Linked DNA regions of Struthio camelus. The protein of the gene in region 2 interacts with the protein of the main gene of each other region in a pairwise test. Links are inferred from orthologs where the notes say so. Each region holds a gene or a part of one and is shown on either strand. Other genes may lie near its edges. The genes, in order: PRKAR2B and KIF5B.

Region 1 (8,121 bases), on a different chromosome or scaffold from region 2:
TTTCATGTTGCCTGTCAGCAACTTTTAACCATGCAGAATGCAAAGTCCGTCTACATTTAAGCTTGCAAAAGTCAGGACAAAGATTTAAGATAAGACCAAACCATACATCTTTAAAAAAACAGGAAATACAGAGAGTAACATCTCCCACACCCAAACTTCAGTCCTTTCCCAGTACACTGCAATAGGTATAGGGCCAATTTTTGTCTTGTGTTTTCTCCAGTACAGTATGTACTTTCATTCTCATCAAGGGCAACTTTTGGGAATTGCTAGGCTGCCAACTTAGGAGAGAGGCTACTACAGCTGAAGAGATTCAGGTCCCTTATTTCTGGGCTAGCTGTGCAGTTGATCCAAGCAGATAATAATAGTTCTTCTCACCTCCAAGAAGGTAATAGAGAGTTTCTTTAAAAGCCTGTACTCCACTAGTATGCTTGTAAAAGTTACTTTCCACTCTAGAGAAAAGGCTTTATACAGTTTTACACTCACGGTGTCAAGTACACATTTCTGCCCACTATGTATTGCATGAATTGCACGCCAGAGCTTAGTCAGGGTTAATCAGAAGATGGGTCTTGGAGAAAACGTCTTTGGAAGGTTGGGAGAAAGCTATTCAGATCAGCTGGAACTTGGCAAGAGGAAGCCTTGTCGGCTGTTAGGTGGACTCAGTTTGCTCAAATGTACTAAATTTACTAAATTTAAATCTATTCTGACAAAGACAAGGCTTTAAAGTCTGTCCTCTCTTCCTTCTGCACTCTATTCATTGTCCTCTACATGCTCAGAAAAGATCTTGTTCTCTGACCTCTGAGAGAAGCGGTCCCAACCGCTGTCCAAAGCACGCTGTCTGAAATTGTCGTGTAGGAGGCATCGGGCTTCCTATTTTTCATTACGAGTTGTATTCTCTTAGTTCTTCCATACCTCAAATCACTTGAAGGGACAGACTGAGACAAAGGCTGGTAACCTGCGTGTAATGGGGAATGCATTGATGGGTAGCAGGAAAGGAGACCACAAGAGTCTTTACTTCACTTTCTTGGTTATTGTGAGAGTAATGTTGGGCCCAAGCCCTTTGCTGTACAGAAGGATTTTTGAAGTTTTTATATGCTCTTTCACTTCAAGATGACATTTTCATTTGAACTAGAATGACACACAGAAATTAGTGCAAACTAACAAAGGTGGTCAGAGAGGTGTGAACCGATCCTCTCATTACCTAACTGATTGTTCTGCTACAGTATAATACATTTTGGGGAACTGCCCTCCCTATGAGGATTTAAAAGCAATTTACATGTCAGGACAAGCTCCTTGGAACGGAAAGTTTCTAAGGTAACCAAATGACAGCAATGTGAACCACAAAGTTCACTGCCATTCTTTGAGATATTCCAAAACTCAAGATAAGTCTCACTAGATACATGCATTTTAGGCTGTTTTGAAAATTTAAAAAAAAAAAATCGTTCTTTAGAGCACCACCTATCTGGAATCTCTTATTCTAATTTTCCCAGTTTTGCATACTAACACCAAGACCACCAACAGGACAACAGTTTGCCTATTAAAACCAGGTGCTCCATCAATGGTCTAATCCTGTTGGCCAAAAGACCTCAAATGTTTACCTTTCCCCCAAAGAATAAAAAATCGTTTCAAAACAATCTGAGCATGCTTACAGATCTCAGAGCACTTTGAAATACTTCTTTTTCAAGAAAAAAATCTATTCCGGAGCAAAGGTTTTGAAGAAGGCTGGCTGCAACCTTCTGCCCAAGTAACGTGCACAGCAGAAGTTTTAGAAATCTTTCAAGAACAAGGCTTAAACTAACAATGAGAAAGAAATGCTTTGTTCCAGTAGATGTATCTAAAGAAAATTGCTTGTTTCCAGGGAATGCTAGTAGTATCTGTTCTGCATCAACTCCCTAGATAGACATGATAGACTATTCCTAGGCTCTTCCGAGAGCTGCGTCCAGGATGCTGACACAGGATGGGCCCACGTGCAACAACATTGCAGACTCCTGGAATAGCCCTTTTTATGTCCATATTGCATGCCTACGTTGCCTGGCATCTGACTCCTCTGCTGACTAGTACTGATGCAGGTTGGAAAGGAAGGCAAGAAAAGAATCGGGGCACCCAGCTGAAATATATTCATTCCTGATAAGCCCAATACACTGGCTGATGAAGGTGGGAACTACTCTATGATTTTTGCATTGCCACAAGAACAAGTAAGATTTACCACTGGCATTATGTTTGCTGACTTTCAGACAAAGTGCTTGGAGTTTGTGCGGGACAAGAACAAATAGTGTGGGGAGGAGAAGGCCTCCCTGCAGCAAGGGTAGCCCAGTGTCCAAATAAAATCATCACTGGGCTTTCCTACAAAAGCTAAGTCTGTTACTGCTAGATAGAGGAAATGACATTTTTGATCGAGGTCACAGGTTCCTCTGGATTTTCACAGGTTGCTAAAATAAAGCTAAGAACACGTGAAGAAGGACAAGTGATAACTCAAAATTTGGAGCCAAGCTCCTGATCACAGAAAGACATCACTGTAGATCATTCCCTACCCCTGTCTCCTCTTGGCTAATGAGTGTATCAGAGCTGTACTTTCCAGATCCTGATAGCTGTATCATCAAGTCCCCAGTCTTATTAAGAGATTCACTGGAGTTTAGCTCCTGCTCCTTAGACAGACTGTGGCTGCGTCCCTGAAGAGTAAAAAGTAGAGAGCAAAGCCTGGCTCTTCAGGATGTCCTCAGAGAAGCAATCTCCTTTCACTTCCACCATGCCTAGGAGGATGGGAGGCCCTAGCAAGCCAGCAAAATCCTTGATCAGAGGGTGAAGGACTCTGTGCTGCTGATAAATTCCTAGTAATAGAGAGCTCTGTCTGGCTAACGGAAAACCTCAGGGATAACTATGCGTTTAGCCCCTGAAGACTCCAGTAGATGGAGTATCACAGGCTGAAAGAACGCCTTGCAACGGCAAGGTGCCAAGTGGTTAGCTGGACCTAGTGTCAGATACTTCCCCTTCTGGAGGTTTCCTCCAAGTTGGGTATCTCTCAACCTGATCACGATCAGGTCAACGCTCTTAGTGGTGTGAGAGGGCTTTTAAGCTATGCACCCCTTAAACTTACAAGTGAGCCAATTTGGCATCTCTAGCTATAGCTAAACACCCTCTAGAATGACCAAGGTGTGCAACTGTCCGTAACATACAGGTGCCAGCTCTCCTGTGGCCCTTGATTCTTGTCCCCAGTAGCACACGTGGCTGCATGGTACCCCTGCGCTGATTTGTAAAGGCAGACGGGGCGGGCGGCATTGGCAGCCAGTAGTGGCAGGATGTTGCTCAAAGGTATTCCACAACTCCATCGCTCAGTACAGAGCAGCAATATCGCCATGCGTGAATGGATCACTCTCCCCATTCATTTGGCAGGTCTAGAACAGTTTGAAGATCCAGCTTACAAAACAAACTCCAATTTGAAATTGCTTCCACGGGGAGCAGTGCATTCCATCTGGACACTACTTCAATTAAAAATGGCTTTGAGATCCTCATTTGCATGAAAAGATTGCTATATTTTGTTGCCATGTGGCTTTCTTCAAGCTAGGTCTTTCAGTATCTCCTTGCTATTACGGACACAAATTTTGACTGCTTACCTCACCCTAAGCCCCGATGGAATACATTTCAAGGCAATTTGAGTAATCCAGAATGCTTCGTGAAATCAATTATCACAAAGCACTTTCAACCTTAGACGTTTTAGCAGTCAATTCTCTTAGTGCATGAAAATAAGACTCTAACAGAAATTTCTGAACCCTCAAAAGGTTGGCCAGATTTTGTGATCAGCAATTACGGAGCGATGCACTTTTCATGCATTTCAAGGACCTCGCCTTCAGGAAGCGTTTAGCAAAGCCTGATGGAAAAGCACAGCACCCGCAACTGCTACTCGCTTTAAAAAAACGAAGCTCACCAGAAACGACAAGCAGCACCTACCACAAGGGTCCTAGGCGCTCCGCGGCCCGAGTCGAAAGGGTTTACGCCGAGCACAGCCGTACGGCGCTCTTTACGTGCACGGTCTTTATTACAACTGTTTTCTTTTTTCCAGCTGCATTATTTATGCGTTTAGACAAGCAGCTGACCAACAGGATGCATTTCCTAACCCCTCCAATCCTAAGTTCTATATATGAACATAAATAGATGCATATACATGTATATATATGTATGTATAGGTATATGAATGGTGTGGGGAACATCTTTAGGAGGGCAGAACGGGACGCGCTACGCCTCCCTGAGAAAAGCACAATAGCAATTAAAAGCGAGCCCAGCGCGGGGCCGGGCCGGGCCGGGCCGGGCCGGGGGGTGTTTCACGGAGGGGGGCGCAGCAGGGGCGCCAAGGGCCCTCCGGCCTTGCCGAGGCGGCGCCGCCGCCGCTGGGCCCGGGCGGCGAGGCCGGGGCGGCCCTGGCCCCCTGCGGGCGCCTCCCGCCTCGGGGGGCGCCGAGGGCTCGGGCCGGGCCGGGCCGGGGCCGGGGCCGCCCGCCCTCGCTGCCTGCCGGCGGGGGCGCGGGCGCGGGCGGGGGCGGGGGCGCTGCGGGCCGCCGTTCCCGGCGGGAGGTTGTCATGGTTTCGCGGGTCACATGCGCGCGAGGTTCCCTCGGCGCGGGGAGAGGGGAGGGGGGAGGCGGCGGCGGCGGCGGCGGCGGGGACGGGGGCGGGGAGGTTTCAGTCACGGACGGGGCCGCCGCCGCCTGCTGCCGCCGCGCCGAGTGCGGGGCGAAGCGGAGCGAGACGCTGCGGCCGCCGCCGCCGCCGAGCCGCCCGCCCGCGGCTGCCAGCTGCGCCCTGCCCTCCGCCGCTGCCCCGGGCGGCCGGCCGGCCGGGCGCGCCTCCGCCTCGGCCTCGGGCTGCCGGTGCTGCCCGGCTGGCTGCGGCTCGGCGGCCTCTGCCCGCCCTTCCGCGCTCCCTCCGCCTGCCGCCCGCCGTCCCTGCCCGGGCTGCGGCCCCCGGCCGGCCCCGGCATGAGCATCTCCATCCCGGCGGGGCTGACGGAGCTGCTGCAGGGCTTCACGGTGGAGGTGCTGCGCAGGCAGCCCGCGGACCTGCTGGACTTCGCCCTCCAGTACTTCGGGCGCCTCAAGGAGGAGGCGGCGGCCGAGAAGGAGAAGGAGAAGGAGGCGAGCGGCCGCAAAGGGGACTCGCCCGCGCCGGGCCATGACCGCGCCCGGGGCAGCCTGCCGCCGCGCCGGGCCCCCGCCGACGCCCGCGGCGTCAACTTCGCCGAGGAGCCCATGCAGAGCGACTCGGAGAGCGGCGAGGAGCAGGAGGAGGCGTTCCCGGGTGAGGGGCCGGGGCCGGGGCGCGGGCGGCGGCCGGGCCGGGCCGGGCCGGGCCGGGCGGCGGGGTCTGTCCGGCCGCCGACGCTGGCAGCTCCGCGCCCCGCGCAAGGCGGCGCCGGGGCCGGCGGGGGTGTCGCCCCGGGGGCGCTCCGCTCGTCCGCCGCTGCCAGGAGGCCACCGGGGCGCCAAGGGTGTGGGGGTTGCTTTTTTTGTGGTGGTGGTGGTGGTTGTTCATTAGCCGAGCGCCGCGCTGCCGTTCCCACCTCACGAAACACCTTTCTCTTGGGCGCGTCGCTGCGTCCACGCAGCCCGGTCAAACATTTTCCGTGGCCGCAACGTGTGGTTCGTATAAATCAGCACAGCGGAATCGCAGGAAGCGAAATCTCTTAGGGAGGAACAAAAAGAAAGAAAGAAAAAGTCAGGTGGAAACTGTGCGGGATGGAGAAGGGCCTACGGCGCGGGCGTCGCGGCGAGGGCAGCCCGGCGCGCGCACGCCGCCTCCGCTCCCAGCCGAGGGCAACACCTGTCTGCCGGCAGCCGGCGGCCTTGGTGCGGCCTTGGTGTGCCTGCCCGGGTGAGCGAGCAGCACCGTGTCCATCTACCGGACCAACCCGATTTATGGGACCAGCGGGAGCTGTCCCGCACGGGTGCGTGGCACCCGGTCCTTGTGCCGCCAGCAGGCTCGCGGAGAGGTCCGTCGGTGTAAGGTGCGCCGGAGAAGAGCAAGACGGCGTCAAAGCATCTTTATCGTTAGCTTGAGCAGCTTGAAATTGAAGTATACCTCATCAGGTCATCGAAGGACTGGTCCTCCTCGGTCATGCTGAAGGTGGCTTTGCTCAGCAGAGCACAGAAGCCAGCTGTTTGCTAGATGAGTATCAGTGTCGTTTTTAAAATAATGTCTTACGTGCATTTTATCAGGAAAAAAACCCTGGATGTTTAAGAACTGGGAAAGTTTTCGGGATGCTTTGTGTTACGCTGTAATATAGTCGGCATTCCTTTCGTCTCTTCTTTGCAGCTGTAGCTGGGGGTGTATAATTAATGAGAATTTGAATCCGTCCATCAGGTTCTGCAGATGTACGTGGTGATTTTGAACTCTGACGCTATGTTGTCTATAACACCGGCAAAAATTGGGAAATTATAATAAAAAAGCCTAATATATTCTGAAAGTTTAATTATATTGTGACTCGTAATTTGTGCCGGTTGGAATAATTAATAACTGAAAGTATGAAAATGGAAATATTTTTGAAACCACATGGAAGGTGTATTAATGAGTACATTATAGTAAATTATTAATAAGTGTGTGCCTGTGCACACACACATTGCACGGGAGAGTGTATGTTAAGTGCAAGTTTTACATCTACCTTGAATATCTGTTCTTCAGAAGTAGCACAGCAATGCATCCGCTCAGCCTTTTGTTAATAAGTGGAGGCATAAAGCCTGGTCTTTAAATCATTGTTTAATGGGTTTAAATATCTATTTAAAAGTGTATTTCTTTTCTGCTTTTACTTTCTGTTTTTGTAAGTAGCAATTCTTGAATGCAAGCTGGAGGAAAAAATCTGTTTTTTTTTCTTTTTTTTTTTTGCTTTTGTCTTTGTGAGTAATCAGACTGCTTCAATATAATCAGTCTGTCCTACTGGTGTACTGTTGTCATACAAGAGAGGAAAACAAATTGCGAGAGTTTATAAGCAAAAGTAAATGAAAAAAAAAAATTCCGGCAAGGAGCTTAGACCTGTCTGCAGTACCTTTTTTGTTGAAGCAGAATTCTTGTTAAATCAACTTGACAATATTTCCTAATTTGCTTATTCAAACAGGTCCTTGTTGTTAGGGGCTTGTTGTAATTGCTATTGTCTCCAACTCCTTTTTTTTCCAGTACATGTTTCTGAATTCCTGCAAACACTGCAGCTGAACACTTTGTCCGCATTAGTTTTGTCCTTGAAATATATTTTGTAAGATACATAAGCATTATTCCATTTTAGAAATGATGAGTTGAGGTATAAGCTATGTTAAGAAATTTACCGTACTCAGGATTAAGAGTTGTATGCGAGCCAAGAATTAAACTGTGTTCGGGTCCTAGTCTGTGTCCATTACATCAGTTGCAGAAATCAAGCCACAATTAAGACCGTTACCTTGTGTGGCTTGCAGTTCTTTGCAGTATTGCTGTCGTAATTCTGAATTAGCACCTGTAGTTAATGTGACCTCTGAAGCAACATTGTTCAAGTTCAGAACATTTAGAGTATCACCTTCTGAACACACTGCTTAATTTGGAAATGATTTTGAGATCTTCTAGTTTCTTTAATATTAAGTTGTCCTACACAGGTGTATGAGTTTTAGTCAATCTGCAGGAATAACTCCTGTTAATACTAGTAGGAATTACTTAAATTGGATAGGACTTAGTTACAGTAGCGTACATAAAATTGAGCCCATTTTTAGAAAATTCCTCTAATTTTTTGAAAGTTTGAAATGTGTATAACAACGTATTATGCTGTATCTGTGCAAAACTTGAAGATGCTCACTAAGTTATTTGTCTGCTTTCAAATGCCTATACTTTTCTCCTTACATTAGCATTTAGAATTTAAGGTGTACCTTATTTTGATGGATAAAGACCCACATAATTTGTATCAGTTGTTTTAAAATATTTGCTTGTAGCTAAAATTCATATTTCATCTAGCCTTAATATGATTTAGTAGAGAGGTTTTTAGGAATAATTTTGGTATTCTTTACACTCCTGTAAATTGCAGTGCTGTACGTACCATTTGGTATCATGCAGCCTTTGTTTACTTTGCTTTGCTTTTGTTTTACTATGGGTTTTTTTGCTCTGATACTGACGTGTTTCAACA
Region 2 (7,799 bases):
TGAGGGAATGGAGGTTGGAGGTTTTACTTCCAGTGCAAGCTTCAATAGGAAGCACTCTAAAGAATACGTTCATATGCCGTTTTTTCAAAGGTTGTTTATGATATGGACAGGCTTGAGTAGTTTTACATGATTAAAAGTAGAGCCTTGACATGGATTTCCCTATGAAATTTCAATCCTTAGGTTAACACTGCTATAACTTGTACAATAATTTTCCTTTAGCAACAACAACAAGCAATGTATCTCTAATCTTACTCTCAAAAACCACTACGCTATTTTTGCTGCCACTGTAAAAAAAAAAATTGCTTGAGGCAAGCACACAGCAAGCAAAAATACAAGCCAGTGGTGATTTTAGCAGAGATTACAAGCAATGGAAAAAGAAATTAGAATAGCCCTTCTCCAAATAAGACTCAGAATCAATGCTTTAGAGAGTAAGCTTACAGAATTTTTGCATGCTTTTGCATAAAGTAGCCAAAATAAACATATGTTATTCCTGGAGCTTAATTTTGCTTTTAATTGGTCTAATATTGTTAGAAACAATTAAATATGGTCTTAGTAATTAGGAGTAAATTAGAGGTCAACTTCTGCATTTTATGCCTTTCTAGTAAAAAAAAAAAAATAATTACTCATACTTATGACAAGAAATTTATGTGCATCAGGAGCTGCATCCTCAATGCATGTTTCATCCTGCTAGTTCATACTAAAGCCTAAACTTGACTGGGACAGGAAACACATTCCAACATTGAATCATTTGGTGGAGCAAAAGGAAGCTTTATAATTTTATAACTGAATGAGACCTTTAGATAATCGAGTTTGACTCCAGTAGTATCTTAGGCCACTGAATTTCACCCATTCAACCTTCTGTTAATCTCAGCTTAGTTAGCTACTGAGTTCCCCAAGCTGAATTGACTGAACACGCTCAGTTTGTTTGCTGGTAAAGAGACTTTAAAATGTATTTGAATAAGCTGTCTGAAATAAAATCTTGTTACTTCTAATGAAGGCTTTTCCAGTGTCAAGCAATGACACTAGACTTCACAAATTATCTTAAGAACCTTTATTGACAGAGGGTGTTACACGTAACAAAGAATTTTGTTCCAAGTGCAGCACATCTAGCAAACTAATCACCCATTTGTCCTACAAGTCGATTTACAAATTCAGAATAAACTTGACCTAGAATGCACCTTAGATTCTGAAAAGTAGTGTGCTATATTTTTCCAGCATATTGCAAATCAAAATGAAAAGAGCACTTGTGTTTGCATCAGGAACACTGAATTTCAACAAGTACTGTCAACTGATGAATCTACCATCTCAGAATTTCATTCTTTAAGGGGCAGGAGGAAGCAGCTTTAATTTGCTTCTCTGCAAACACCTGCTTTAAAGATTTATCCAAATATGCAATATTCTTTTAAGATCAAATCAAGATTACTGTCACTCTGCCAAAACAATTTTCATGGTTAATTACATCAATATCCAGATAGAGTTTCACTGTAAGCCCCTTTGCTGAACATGCTGATCTTTTAATGCCAGGAAGATACTAGAGATCTAAAGGAACTGCAAATCATAAAAGAATTTCTAGAGGATTATTGCACAGATCATAGATGAGAAGAAACATAGCGAACTAGTAGATATAAAGTGGTTAGATAAACTACTTTTATTAAAAGACGTTGGTCTTTACTGAGAAACTTTACTATACTTGTTTATTAGATAAATTGTTTCTTTAGAAAATATATTTCACTTATGAGGCTCAAGTATCAGATGGAAAGATTCACTTTTTAATGACAACTAATATGCCATATTTTCTCACTATAACAGACTTTAAACGGTCTTTCACCCTAAATAATTGAAAAAGTATGGTATAAACAGGTAATTACATATTCCAGAAGAAGTAAAATATATTTCCAATTAAAAATGAAAGAGAATTTTTTCATCGTGACAAAATTGGAAACTTGGCAGGACATTTGGTCTCTGCCCTGCTTTTGGGAAAGCGGCACCACATCTTTAAGCACAAGTCATCAAGACTGCTGTTTGATATCCTATTTTAGAGCCAACAGAGATAACACACTGCTCTCTTTGAATATGCTGCAGCATTGTTAGACTGTAAATAGGTCACGTAAAAGAATGGTTGCTGAACATTTTGAAGAGCAGACCACAGAAGACAATCTTCATGACCGAATACCTGGAATGAATACGAGAACACGCATGTTTAGTTCAAGGGAACTCATTTAGTAAGGTTTCCCATAGCCAGTATGGGAGATACCGTCAACCACGGTCTCCCACGAGCTTGCATGGAACCAACAGCCTAGAAGCGGTCAGATCCTTCTACACAGTTCACACATCCCGGTATTTTTTTGTTACAGCATAATTAAAAAGAGCAACTACCTATTCACGAGTCTATACTGTCTCTTTGTAAAGTGTATGCTGTTTGAAACATTGAAAAGATAAGCAGGCCTAAGCATTTATTTTCTCGAGAACCATTTCATTACGAGCTTTTTTCCTTTACCGAGTTGTTCTTACTTTGAGTACTGTGTGTCAGCAAATGTAGCTAATGATATATCCCCTTCGGTTGTGGATAATGATAATGACAAGTTTCCCAAATAGACTAGGGTAAAGGATACATCACCAGCTGAAACATTCTGGGAGTAATAATCATGAAGTTGTTGATTTTGCAGCTAACATTTATTTTTCCTCACTTATTAAAGAAAACGAATTGCAAAAGTAGTAAATAGTTTATGTGCCCTTCATAAAAATAATAACCTCCTGTCACAGGAAATCTGTAAGGATCCAAACCCAGCAGCTGTACAAACATATGCCTACCCATAAGCACGTGGACAGTCCAAGAAATAGTTGAGTTAGACATATTAATATATCTTGCTGACTGGGATTTAAATTCACAAATTCTAAAATAGAATTCAACAAAAATAGGCTTTCTCACATTTTAAGGAGAACCACCATTATATTTTATTGACAATACGTTTCATTGAAACAGTTAAGCAGAACCATCATATGCTAGATGCTGTGGGGCAGCAGTGCACCTTCTGCAGGCGGAGTATACAGCCTGGCCTTATCAAACAGCTAAAGAGCGCTGGTAGGTTGGGTGGTGTAATTGTTGCTGCTCCGATCAAGGCGGCATAGTCCTGCAGCAGTTTTAACTACAGCAGAAAAATAAACTTGTTACAACATGATCTCAATTTAGAAGACTTAGAGCTTACCTCAGAACATCAAACAAGGTGCAAAAAATATTTTTTCTATGACAGTATGAAAAAAAGCTGTAGACGAAATTAGGTTATTAGGTAACTTTCCTGCCATGTGGATTAGCATGGAGAAATTTTGAAGCAACATCCGCCTTCTTTACCTATACTAAGTAAAAACACACCATTCAAAACCCTGCAGTAAGAAGGGCCTTGAAAATGGAGGCTGCTTGATTTCAGATGGTCCCTATTAAAATTCACAAACATGTACCCTTTTCTAATGAAAAAGAGAGTACTTTCAAAGGAATGACATTGCTATTCTGAGTCGTTCTGGCCTACTAAAATTTACTAATTTAAGAGGACTCCCTCATTTTTCATTAATTTCAAGGCCATTTTAAAAGTTTCCAGCACAGATGGCGATTTCTGACAGGAAGTTGACTTACTGAGCTGAGCTGTAAATCTGTACTTTGACCCGGTTTGAAAGTTCATATTATACCTAGATGTAAAGGGGTATGGCAGTAAAATCTTGAAACTCTTCTGAGAGCCTCTGATCTGAATGGCTTACCTAACAACTTTTTAAATCTAGATACCGTCAGTAAATATCCATGGATTAGCATTGCAGTTCTATTTAATCTGTATTGAATAAAACTTGTGATAAAGGAAACTTTAGAAAACTATCGTGCATATTCTTTCTTCATTGGAACGGAAAGGTAGGGAGAGACTTCTTCACGGGAAACGAACTGTAAAGGCTGTGTATCCTTGCAACGCCCTCCTAAGAACGTGACCTGCAGACTCCCTAGCCCCACAAGACCTCCATAGGTTTCCGGAAAAGGAATTAGTTCGGGGGAAATTTTGAAAATACTGACAGTTCCATTGGCAGGCTTTCTGTGCATACTCATGCTTTTTTTTTTTTTTTTTTTAATTCTGCTGAACAAAGGCAAAAAAGAGTCAAGACAGTTCGGAGGTTTCTCTCTCCAGCGCCTTAACTTCACGCCCGCTAAAGCTGGTAGGTCAGTTTTCAGGCTCGCCCTGCCTTGGAGGGCCGGCCCGGCCGCAGGCAGAGGGCTGTGTCGCGCCCCCCCCTCACAGCCACGAAGCGCCCGGCGCCGGCCGTTAGCGCGGGAACGCCGCCGCCTGCCTGAGGCGCGCGCCCCGTCCCCTCAGGGCTAACGGCCCCTGAGGGCCCCGGCCCCTCAGGGAGACGAGGTCTCCCGCCATGCGGTACCGTGGCCAACGTTAGCCCCGGCCGTGCGCCCGCAAAACGGCTCCGCTGCGTGCGTGAGGGGAGCGGGGGCGGGGGGGTGGGGGGACGCTGGCCACGGTCACGGCCACGGTCAGGCTAGGTACAGCGGGCGGGACGAAGCTCTCACACGCGCCCCTATCACACCCTTCTCCCCAGGCTCGGAGGGAGCCACGCCCCCACAAGACCACGCCCCCACAAGACCACGCCCCCCACAAGACCACGCCCCCACAAGACCACGCCCCCACAAGACCACGCCCCCTCGCGCTGGCTGCGCCTGCCCGGTGCGAGCGTTGGCACCCCCGACGCCTATCCTCCCGCCGGGTGGTCTCCCTCCCTCCTCCCCAGCGACGGCTTCGCGCCTGCGCCGTCGAGCTCCCGTCGTGGCCGGGCCCCTCGCCTGTGCCCCGCCGCGCCTGCGCGGCACCTCCGAGCCGAGGGGGCGGGGTTGGGGGGGGGGGGGTTCTGCAGAGGGTGACGTCACCGCCTCTTTGCCCTGCCGTCCGCGCCGCCTCTGCCCGGGAGGGGAGGGTCGGGACTTGCCGGCTGCAGGCGCCGCCATGGCTGCCATATTGGGGAGGAAGTGAGAGCAGGAGGCGGCCGTGGCGGCCAGGAAGGAGCCCTTCCCTTTTCCCTTCTGCTTAGGCGGACGCGGGCCTCCCGGCAGCGGCGGCAACGGCGGCTTGTGAGACCCCCGGAGCGGGCGGCGCAGAGGCAGCAGCGGGTAGCGGCGGAGCTGAGCGCCCCGGAGGCGGCGGCGTTGGCCTAAGATGGCGGACCCGGCGGAGTGTAACATCAAAGTGATGTGTCGCTTCAGGCCCCTCAACGAGTCCGAAGTGGCCCGTGGCGACAAGTACGTCGCCAAGTTTCAAGGCGAAGACACCGTCGTCATCGCGGTGAGGGGCCGCCCCGGATGGGAAAGGCGGGGGGTGGGGAGGAAGGCGCCGGGGGGAGGGGGTGTGCGGGCGGTGGGGTCACATACCGCGGGGATGGGCGCGGTGTGAGGCGAGAGGCTGGGCCGCGGCGGAGAGGGGTGGCTGTTTTGGGGTGGGGGGGAGTGGGAAGGGGAGGAGGGCAGGGCAGAGCGGTAAAGAGAACCGGCTAGGATGGAGGTGGGCATGGCGGGGCAGAGAGGAGAGCTCGGGGAGCGGTTGGAGGGGGTGCATCCCCTGGCCGTGCATGTGTGGTTGCAGGACGTTCCCGTGGTAGCAGGTCAGGAAACATGGACAAAGGCTCTAGCAAAAGGCTTGCAACTTGGGGCGTAACTGGAGTTGTCGTTGCTGAGCCCGAGCCACAGGGCAGGCTTCACTGTGGCCACGGAAGACGTGCGAGTTAGGAGCTGGAGCAACAGACGAGTCCTGCAGAGTGTCCCCTGGCTAGGCTGCGCCTGGTTTTGGCCACCGTGAAGAGTTTGGCCGCTGAATAAATAGTCGTTCAAAAAGTGTGCATTGGAACTAGCAGCGACGTAATTATCAACAGAAAGATTTTAGAAAGAAAACGCGCAGCAACGTGAGCTCTGCTTGACTGATCTGTAAATCAGTCATGGGCTGATAACTTCTTTTAAAGAAGAATGAACTGAGACTTTTTGACTTATTACATGTTTATGAATGCGTTTTAACGTAAGTCATCTAATAAGGTATGAGAGCTTTTACATAGCAATCTGAAAGTTTCAGGGGAGAAGATAGTCCTAGCCTTGCTGTTCATTGTGTCACATTTAGCTACAAAGTGGAGCTGGAACATAAAGCACAGTAGCTTATTGCCTGGTTTAGTTGGTATTCTGCAAATACGCGCTTTATTCCCAATGCTTGTGTTCTATCTCTGCTAACTTTTAATCATTCTCTAGAGACGATCCTGGTTCTGCATTGCTAAACGCAGAACTTAGAAATGTCAGTTGATTATTTTTCTTTAAATTTTGTTTTTGTTACTCTCTTTGTTAAGGTTACCAGTACTACCTCTTTCTCACAGTATCTGAACTTTGAAGAAGACATTAATAGCATCAGTTTTTTTTAAATATGTCATATTAAATACTAGTGCTTTATTCTGTTTGAATTCAACTGATTTTGCAAATACAATATGGAATTCCATCAGTTCTCAGCTGCAAGAAAACTAGAGTGCTTGTGAAATGAGGTAAATTTGGGCCTCTTTCAGCTGACAAGTTGTTAACTTGGAGTAGACCTCTTCTGACTGAGGTGGTACAGGTAAACTCCTCAGAGTAAGGAACTAAGCCTAGAAATGGAAATTAGAAATGGAAAACTAGAACAAATGATCTCACTCCATCAATGAGTATCCATTCATTGTGACACTGTATGATCTCTTTAAAATCCAGGATTAATTTCACAATTTTTTTTTTTCTGACTTTTTCATAGATGATGCATTTTCCACATCTTTTTTTTTCTTTCAGTAATTCTTGGGCTAAATTACAGCCGTTTCTAATGAAGTACACATCAAATAAGAAAAAGGAGGTGATCTGGAATGGACTTTAAAATGTTATTTCCACCCATGCGTTGCAGGTTGAATAGAATCTTCTGCATTCTCATCTGCAATAGTCTGCTTCTCACAATTAGACAGTTTAATTAGACAATTTAAAATTTTTTTAAGGCATTTACTACCAAACATTAAAACTAGAATTTCTCGTTGTTTGTGAATTGAGGAGAAAACTTTTATAGTGTTTAGATAGTCTTTAAATACTCTTTAAAATGTCTAAAATGTAAATTGGGCTGAGGTGGCACTAAATCTGTGTGGATCAATGTGATGTCATGGTCCTGAAGGAAAATGCAGGGCTCTTGCTGGGATTTGGTAGGGAGCTGGTATTTTTTATAACTTTGTCTAGTTTTAGTGTTTTCTGCATGAGGAAAAAACAAAAAATCCTTCAGTGATCTCAGGTCCAAGACTTGCTGTGTCTGACCTTGGAGAAAATACTGAAAAAAACCCATTAGATTATGGGAGCAGTGATGGTACTCGAGTCTTATTTTAATAGAGGATTGATGTTCTGGGATTCTGCTGTGTGTTTTTTTTTCGTTTTGTTTGTTTTGTTTTTAGTTGACTGAAGTTTTAAAAAGTTACCTTCCAACCTGAGGATATAGCTATCCAAACACATCTTGCCTGTGTTTTGTGGAATTGCTAAAGGGAGGACAGTAAAAGAAGCAGCTCTTCTCATGAAATGGTTTCTAAAAACATTTCTCCATAAGCTGTATGTTTGGTTGCTTTCAACTGTTTATTAGAATTTCTGTGTTTACAGCTACATGTGATATTGTCTGCCATTTGAACAGTGAGTTGAGCCTCTTTTTATTTATTATGTATATTTGCTTCCCTTGTCTGCTATTGCCCTCGAGCAGCCTGATGGAGGCTTCTGTTATGGCTTCTGTGTGTGCCAG

The links.
Region 1: the proteins of KIF5B (region 2) and PRKAR2B interact in binary tests that used the Homo sapiens proteins (3 or more experiments, as listed by UniProt). The two-hybrid records come from large-scale screens. The link is inferred for Struthio camelus from reciprocal best matches to the Homo sapiens genes KIF5B and PRKAR2B.

What each region holds. Positions count from the first base shown.
Region 1 is NC_090942.1:16,003,107-16,011,227, forward strand, and holds the start of PRKAR2B (cAMP-dependent protein kinase type II-beta regulatory subunit), read left to right. Parts: upstream 1-4,897; 5' UTR 4,898-4,966; coding exon 4,967-5,285; intron 5,286-8,121. UniProt on the Homo sapiens protein: Regulatory subunit of the cAMP-dependent protein kinases involved in cAMP signaling in cells. Type II regulatory chains mediate membrane association by binding to anchoring proteins, including the MAP2 kinase.
Region 2 is NC_090943.1:17,079,941-17,087,739, forward strand, and holds the start of KIF5B (kinesin-1 heavy chain), read left to right. Parts: upstream 1-4,708; 5' UTR 4,709-5,195; coding exon 5,196-5,321; intron 5,322-5,469; exon of another isoform or gene 5,470-5,531; coding exon of another isoform or gene 5,532-5,537; exon of another isoform or gene 5,538-6,032; coding exon of another isoform or gene 6,033-6,044; intron 6,045-7,799. UniProt on the Homo sapiens protein: Microtubule-dependent motor required for normal distribution of mitochondria and lysosomes. Can induce formation of neurite-like membrane protrusions in non-neuronal cells in a ZFYVE27-dependent manner.